2 linked regions of the Sus scrofa genome follow. The protein of the gene in region 1 interacts with the protein of each later gene in a pairwise test. Links are inferred from orthologs where the notes say so. Each region holds a gene or a part of one and is shown in the gene's direction. Other genes may lie near its edges. The genes, in order: TSR2 and RPS26.

Region 1 (4,434 bases):
GCTTAATCTCAGTTTCTTTATTTGGGCTTCTTTGAACTCAAATTTAAATTGCTGAGTCTGCAGGAATGAATCTCTAGAGCTCTGTAGGAGTTTATGCCTCCTGAGATTATCAGTCTGGGAATGCTTGTAATTATCATCAAACAGCATGTTGTTTCCTGATTCTTTTTCTTTGTATAGATTGTTTCCTCAGCATGAAAGACTTTCTTTCTTTTAGAAACATACCTCTATCCTCAAATACACAAACTCCTCATCCCCTGGGAAAATTCCACTCAAACTTTTAAGTCAGAGGCATTATCTCTGAGAGATTTGCCATAATTCCCAAGGCTGGATCAGAAACCCCCTCTGCTGGACTCCCATAGCTTCCTGTGCTCCTTTCTCCTCTAGCATTGCATAGAGATGGATTTATCACAGAAATAATATAACTAAAAGTTTAAGCCTCTAGTAACTCACACTTACACAAGACACTTCCAAGCCCCTGGTTGTTGAGCATTGTCAATTTGAGACAATTATTGCTGCACAAAAACAAAGTACCATAAAATTTTATAGCTCACATGTAAAAGAAACTAGAGGTTTCCCCAAATTTAACACAATCTTAAATTTTATTCTACTAACAATGAGCTGTGAAGTTGAAACTTTTCTAAACTACAATAATAAAAAATTTTGATCAACTGAATGCAATTGAATTCTTTTTATTCTCTCTTGAAAATGTTATTATAAAATAATTGTCCTATTTATTTACAGGAAGATATCAAAATGTTGGCAGCCAAAAAAAAATAATAAAATAAAAAATAAAGGAAAAATTAGTAGAGAGGTGAGTCAGGCAATTATTTTATTTCTCTAGTTTTGAGGATGTTTGTGGTATTTGTCAGGTTTTTTTAATTGGAATTTGTAGGAATTCCCTAGTGGCTCAGTGGGTTAAGGATCAGCATTGTTAATGCTGTGGCTCTGGTTACTGCTGTGGTGCCAGCTGGATCCCTAGCCTGGGAACTAACACATGTCACAGGCATGTTCCCCCCCCCAAAAAAAATTGGAATTTGTAAATTTAAAAATTTCTTTTATAAATCTAAAGCTATACTTACTTGCACACCTAAATTTGTACTATTTTTCTTAAAGAGGGCTTACAAAATTCTATCTGCCTCAGGCCCTTCAAAGTGTGGATTCACCCTGAGCACTGATCATAATTTTGGTCCTTGCCCTGCTTTAGTTTCAAGTCATTTCAAGACGTCTTCCGATTTTTTTTTCTTTGACCCATTAGTTATTTAGAAGTGTACTAATTCCCACCTATTTGTGAATTTCACAAATGTCTTTCTGTTATTTATTTCTTTTTTATTTTATTTAATCAATCAATTAATTTATTTTTTAGGGCCACACCTACACCATATGGAGGTTCCCCCGCTAGGGGTCGAATTGGAGTTGCAGCTGCAACGCCGTATCCAAACTGTGCCTGAGACCTACACCTTAGCTCACGGCAACGCCAGATCCTTTAACCCACTGAGCGAAGCCAGGGCTTGAAGCCGCATCCTCATGGAGATGAGTCGGGGTCTTAACCCGCTGAGCCACAGATGGAACTCCTAGGATGCATTTCTAAATGCAGACTTTTAGGCTATGCTACCTGAGGTTGCTTCCTCTGTCCTTTATCTTTAATAAGTTCCTCACATCTTTTCTGCGCAATACCCACGGGTCCGGAACTCTCGGCCCCAAGCGTCTTCCACTTCTTGAGTAACCCGGGCGGTGTCATCGATTACTCGACAGACTTTTCTATTGCTCTAGTCTTGCTGCCAGATCAGCGGAAAGGGAGAATCTGCGTTCTCAAGCTTGGCTTCCTACTCCTTCTGCCTGGGCGGTGCTGCGCAGGGATTGGCCTGCTTGGGCGTCACGTGGTCCGCAGCAGGATGATGGCGGGCGCTGCAGAGGAGTCTCTAACGCTTTTCCGGGCTGGCATCCGCGCAGCGTTGGAGGCTTGGCCCGCCTTGCAGGTGAGCGAGGACACAGCTGGAACAAAGGTTAGGGACCGGGCCAGAACAGGAGTTGGCCGGTGAGCTGCCCAAGGCTTAGTTGGTTGGGCGGCGTCAGAAGCGGACCCTTGCGCCACCGCAGGCCGGTTCCTGGGCTGACGTGGTGGGCTCGGGCCTGTGTTCGCAGATCGCTGTGGAGAACGGCTTTGGAGGTGTGCATAGCCAGGAGAAGGCTGAGTGGCTAGGGGGTGCAGTGGAGGAGTATTTCTTCCGCAATGGTGAGTGAATTTAAGGCCCTAGGACTTGTTTAGGGGCGCGGGGAGGAGGGCGGTCTTGGTGAATCTGCACTTCCTCTTGAACAATTGTCTGCTGATACCAGAGTCTGAATCCTGAGTTCGAGTGCCTTAGGGCCATGCCATTGACTCCTTGTATCGCGTTGGATATGTCGTTTTACTCCCCTGAGACTCAGTTTCCTAATTTGTAACATGGATATGAAAGTATCCACCAGCGCTGTCCAAATCGAAATATAATGCCAGTCACATCATGTAATTAAAAATTTTTCAGCAACCACTTTGATATAAAAAGCAGGTGAAATGAATATTGTTCAACTCAATATATCCAAAGTATTTCAACATGTAATCAATATAAAACATTATTAACGAGATGTATTACATTTTTTTTTAGTATTAAGTTTTCAAAATCTGGTGGGTGTTTTGCAGTTTTATCACATCCCAATTTGTCTTGGCCTAGCCACATTTTAAGTGCTCAGTAACCACATTTGATTATTTGGACAGCAGAGATCTACACCTTTGATGTGTCTTGTAGGTTCTATAAGAATAGGGGCCCTTTAGGTGATCTTTTGTGAAGTATGATTTTTTTTAAATTATTCACTTAGTTTTCTTGGCCTTGGAGATGGCATTAGGCAGAGACCTTTCTCTGAAAAAAATTTATTATTTGGTGAGGGATCTAGATAAGTAAATAGGTTTTTACTCACAGGGTGGTAGGTGTTCTAATAAAGATCTCAGGGTGCTTGGGTAATGTGAGACTGAGGAAGAGGCTTCTTTTGGAGATTGTTAGGGTAAGGTGGCTTTTGGGTGAGTTTTAAGGGATGAGAAGGAGTTAACTAGGTGGGAGAGGCAGAGCAACACTCAAAAATAAGTTCTGTGGTATGAGGAGATTATGTGTTATATTTGGAAAGTGGCAGGGAGCTCAGTGTTAGAGTAGGGCTGTATGGTGTGCTTGTGGGGGTGTGGGAGGGGGGAGTGATAGAGAATGAGGCTGGAGGTTGGTTGGGGAGGCCCCTGGAAAAGGGTGAAACATGGAAGGATTTGTGGGCCTTTGATTTTATCCTTTAGGCCAGCATTTGTCAAAAATATATGCTATGGAAGACTAGTTCTTTTTAGGTGTTCAGTGAAGAAACCACTTCTCCAGTCACATGATATAAAAAAAGCTCTTCAGCTCTTAAGAGTCACCATAATCATTATCATATTAAAGGTTCTGATAAGAACCACCAAAAAGAAACTTGTTTACCATGATTTTTCTATGAATAGCTTCCCTTAAAGTCCAGCAGGACAGTTACGTCTTATAAGCAGAATATGAAACACTGCAGTAGGAGATAAAACTTCATGAGCAGGATTTAATAGGATGGGGTTTACTGGCTATAGAAAGTAGCCAGTATGGGGTTCCCGTCGTGGCGCAGTGGTTAACAAATCCGACTAGGAACCATGAGGTTGCGGGTTCGGTCCCTGCCCTTGCTCAGTGGGTTAACAATCCGGCGTTGCCGTGAGCTGTGGTGTAGGTTGCAGACACAGCTCGGATCCCGAGTTGCTGTGGCTCTGGCGTAGGCCAGTGTTTACAGCTCCGATTCGACCCCTAGCCTGGGAACCTCCATATGCCGTGGGAGCGGCCCAAGAAAAGGCAAAAAGACAAAAAAAAAAAAAAAAAAAAGTAGTCAGTATGGAGCTTGGACTGGAGAGGGAACAACTGATGAGAAGACTGTTTCTGTCTTGAAGATGATGAGGCAGTGGCAATAGTTACGGAAAAGAAGGGGTGGATTAGAATCTTGGAAATTGTTTGGCTGTAGAGGAGTGGGGGGGGGCATGAGGCAGGTTTCTGGTTTGAGTCGTTGCGTGGCTCAGATACCTTTTATGGAATAGGAGAACCCTGGAGGATTGAGAAGTAGGTTTGGAAGGTAAGGTGATGAATCTGGCTTTGGGAAAGGAGGGTCTGAGGCACCCTCTAAATAGGTGGAGAGTAGTGTGGATTGGAGACAAATTTGGGGGATATTCGAGTGGTAGGGAAAGCCAAGGAGGCGAATGGAGCTCTCCCAGAGGGAAGAGAGAGCAAGGAGCTTTGTGGAAGACTTTCTTGAGTTATTCTATAATTCAGAAAAAGTAGAGTATAGGACCATAACGTGACTGAAGCCGAGAGAGGAGGGCTCTGCCAAAGTCACATGATAGCATGTTGGTGCCAAGGCTGT
Region 2 (3,977 bases), on another chromosome or scaffold:
AAGAAAGAAAAAAAAAAAAGAGGTAAATGGAACTTAAACATAAATAACAAGGTACATTTCAATAGGAGGCCAGAGTCATCAATGAGTGGTGAAATCACCTTAATGGGAATTGATGAACACTTATTAAAATAAAATAGAAAATACCAGCGCACCTTATGTCATAAGGGCTTTGTTTCATGAAATTTTTGTTTCAGTTTTGTGTGTGTGTGTGTGTATTTGTATTTGTATATGTATTGAGTACCAAAGTAAAATATATTTTTACTAGGAGTGTAAGTCAAATCATTTAGGTCACCAGTCCAACTTATACCTCCATCCACTTATTTGTTTCTTAGGTAAGAGAAAGCATAGTACAGTGGAGCCAAGAAACCTCTTACTAGCTCCCTGTAACTTTGGGCAACCTCAGTTTTAACCTCTCTACTCCTCAGTTTTTCAATCTGTCGTGGGATCCCTGAACCTCTAGGGAATTCCCATGTAATGTAAGGATAATATTAGAAGCTTCCTTGTAGACTTGTTGAGGGTTAACTGAGTTAATATTTATACAGTGCTTACTACAGTGCCTGGCACTATGTTTGCAAGATCCAGGAACAAAAAGGTGAATGAGAAATAGCCCTAGCACCGATGCACTTGTCCATGACTCCTCCCTGCTGGGTTTTCTCAGTATTAGAAGGAGGAACTAATAACATGTTTTATTCTTCCCCCAGCCTCCCGCCCCCAACATCTTCCTTTTCTGTCATGCACCAAAGAAACGAGCAGAGAGCGTCCCCCAGTGGCCGGTGGAGTGATGTCGCCTTCCGTTTAAGGGCTTGGGGCCTGGGGACTGCCAACTCCGCACTACAACTCCCACCATGCATCTCTTCCCCTCCGACCTCTAATAGGCAGTGTGACAAGCGGTCTTGCGCCGGGCAACTTCCCCGCCTTGCGTCGCAAAATACAGATAAATGCCCAGAATTACGTCCGGGGTAAGGTGTTGCAAAGGTTGCTGGGAAACACATAACCGTAATTTTCTTCCGCCAGCAGGTTAAATAGTCCCTTGGTCACTTTGTGCCACGGAAAAATAAACTCGAGAAACACCTTTCTACCATAGATTTCAGCAGAAACGCTGAATAATAAATAACATTTGAATAAAGGTGATTGCCGTCCTTGGCGTGCGTCCAGGAGCCGTCTAGGAGGAATCCCTCGGCGTGAGCGGAGGGATCTCGCACTATATAAGAGAGCCGAGCCGTTGGCCACTTCCTCTCTCGCGTCTTCGCTTCCAAGATGGTGAGTTATGGCGCGTGGTGAACGATTGGGGCCGGGTGAAGGCTGAGTGTGAGCCAGATGAGATTGTGGGGGTTTTAAAACCTGGACTACGGTGAAGGAATGGAAAGAGCATATGTTTGTTCCAGGCTTGGGGGGGTTTGCGGAGGGACTGGAGATCTGAGTGGCTCTTCTGGTGGTTGCCGGCGGGAAATGTGGCCGGAAGGGGTCTAAGGCTGGGTAAGTTGCGAGCCCTTCTTAATGGTGTTTTCATCCTGATGCAGACCAAGAAAAGAAGGAATAATGGCCGTGCCAAAAAGGGCCGCGGCCACGTGCAGCCTATTCGCTGCACCAACTGTGCCCGATGCGTGCCCAAGGATAAGGCCATTAAGAAGTTCGTTATTCGGAACATTGTAGAGGCCGCGGCGGTCAGGGACATTTCCGAAGCGAGCGTTTTCGATGGTGAGTGAGCTCCCGGGGCGAATCGGTATCTTAATATTTAAGAAGTGTAATTTTTTTGTGGCGCGTATTCGATCCCTGGCCGAGGAACTTCCACATGAGGCCGAAAGCTGTACATACATACTTTAAGACCTAAAACCACCTCTCCCCGCCAACCCGTGCGGTGCACAGGCTTTGTCGTAGTAGTGTCCGAGCAATCTCCTTGTGTTTTTAAGGTTGTCGGTAGAAGAGAATTGAATCTTTGCTGCGTTTGCCACTTTGAGCTGTGTCTGGGGAGGGAGCCTTTTTGTGGTAGTGCTCACTGAGTCATTTAAGAAAGGAAGCATGTCTACTTAGGTTCACGAGGGTGATCTTTGGAGCAATATGATGTTGTTTTAATCGTTTTTCTTTTTAGAGACAGTGAGCTTTTTTAGGCGGGGGCCCTGGACGGTGTTAGGGCTGATGTGATTGTTGAAGAAACTAGATTCTTGGTGGTATAACATCTGTGGTGTGAATTTGATTCCCATGATGACAGGATGGGTTAGTAAGGGGGTGTTTATTCGTGAAACTATGTTTTTAGGTGTCAGAAAGTGAATAGTAGCTCTTTGGAGTGAAATCTTGTAGATATGCCTAAATGAGTTTGTTTACTTTTTTGTTTTTGTTTCTTTGCCATTTCTTGGGCTGCTCCTGCGGTGTATGGAGGCTAGGGGTCGAATCAGAGCTGTAGCTGCCAGCCTTCGCCAGAGCCACAGCAACACGGGATGCAAGCCGCTTCTGCAACCTACACCACAGCTCACGGCAACACCGGATCGTTAACCCGCTGAGAGGGGGCAGGGATCGAACCTTCAACCTTATGGTTCCTAGTCGGATTCGTTAATCACTGAGCCACGACGGGAACTCCTGTTTACTCCCCCCCCCCCCCAAAAATGACCGAACTTGAGAACTTCCCAGGCCAGGGGTTGAACCTGCACCATAGCAGTGACAATTCCAGGTCCCTAACCTGCGGGGCCACCAGGGAACTCCTGGGTATGTTTACTTTTGCCTGATAGAATGAACAAGAAAGAACTGCGTGAGGTGGGTGTGCAATACATGATATCATACCTCTAAATTTTCTGTTTCTTAGCCTATGTGCTTCCCAAGCTGTATGTGAAACTACATTATTGCGTGAGTTGTGCCATTCACAGCAAGGTAGTCAGGAATCGTTCTCGTGAAGCCCGGAAGGATAGAACACCTCCACCCCGATTTAGACCTGCGGTGAGTATGTAAAAGGTGTGGGAGCCAGAGGGGTGATGGGGGAAAGACACATACGAGGACTCAAGGAATATCAAAAGTGGTTAGAATCTGGTTCAGATTGAGTAGCGTAATCTTTGATGTGTGTTGGTTTTCCATGCATTTATGGCCCAGATACATTGTTAGTGGTAGGAGGGCAGTGGTCAAGTTCTTTAAGGGAGACTCTTTAATTTACTGTTCCATTTTTTTTGTCTTTCAGGGTGCTGCCCCACGACCTCCACCAAAGCCCATGTAAGGAACTGAGTTCTTAGAGACTGAAGGAATTCTATCCTTTAAAAAGACAATAAAATGGAGACTATACTTAATATGGCATGTTGAGTGTGTGTTGCCAGATATAATGGGGGTTGTGTATGTTACAGGAACTGTAACTTCACCACATATTGAACTCTGGAGTGTCACATAGTCTTTTTCATGGAGGCCAGGGTGGTTATGTAAGTTAAACCTCAACTCCTGTGTTTCTCTTACATTTCTGTCTTTGACCTCCCCAATTTGCATAGCTATGGGGGAGAGGAGTTAAAGCATCTGTATTAGGTTAATTCAACCTGGCATGTTGGCGTAAACTGGTGTTCTAAGAACAGGATAAGGAGTTTTGTGAGGAACTCATCAGGAAGCAATTTAGACTGATCTAGGTGTGAGTATCTTTAGTGGGGGACACAAGGCTTTAATGGAAGTTTATGGCCTGAATAGCTTCATGGGATCTGATTCCAGATCCTTAACTTCGTTAATTCACCTCTTTGCCTTGAATTGGTTTGCTGGTTAGCCAGTTCTCACCCAACCTTCATCTTTCTGCAGTGATTTTCTCTATCAAGTAAAAAAGCCCAGGACACCAGGTATTCTAGAAACTTGGGGGGGGTCCCACAAGAAGATATTTCCCCCACAATGTGAGGAAGGGTTGTACCTAATGTGACCTTTACAGCAATGGTTCATTTGTCCCAGAATTCAGAAATTAGAAAGTCGCCAGCTAAGGATATGCAGTTGACCTTGAACAGTGTGGGTTTAACAGTGGCGTTGTT

What was found.
Region 2: the proteins of TSR2 (region 1) and RPS26 interact in binary tests that used the Homo sapiens proteins (3 or more experiments, as listed by UniProt). The two-hybrid records come from large-scale screens. The link is inferred for Sus scrofa from reciprocal best matches to the Homo sapiens genes TSR2 and RPS26.

What each region holds. Positions count from the first base shown.
Region 1 is NC_010461.5:47,185,195-47,189,628, forward strand, and holds the start of TSR2 (pre-rRNA-processing protein TSR2 homolog), read left to right. Parts: upstream 1-1,415; 5' UTR 1,416-1,892; coding exon 1,893-1,976; intron 1,977-2,142; coding exon 2,143-2,233; intron 2,234-4,434. UniProt on the Homo sapiens protein: May be involved in 20S pre-rRNA processing.
Region 2 is NC_010447.5:21,430,423-21,434,399, forward strand, and holds RPS26 (40S ribosomal protein S26), read left to right. Parts: upstream 1-1,233; 5' UTR 1,234-1,257; coding exon 1,258-1,260; intron 1,261-1,520; coding exon 1,521-1,698; intron 1,699-2,797; coding exon 2,798-2,928; intron 2,929-3,163; coding exon 3,164-3,199; 3' UTR 3,200-3,269; downstream 3,270-3,977.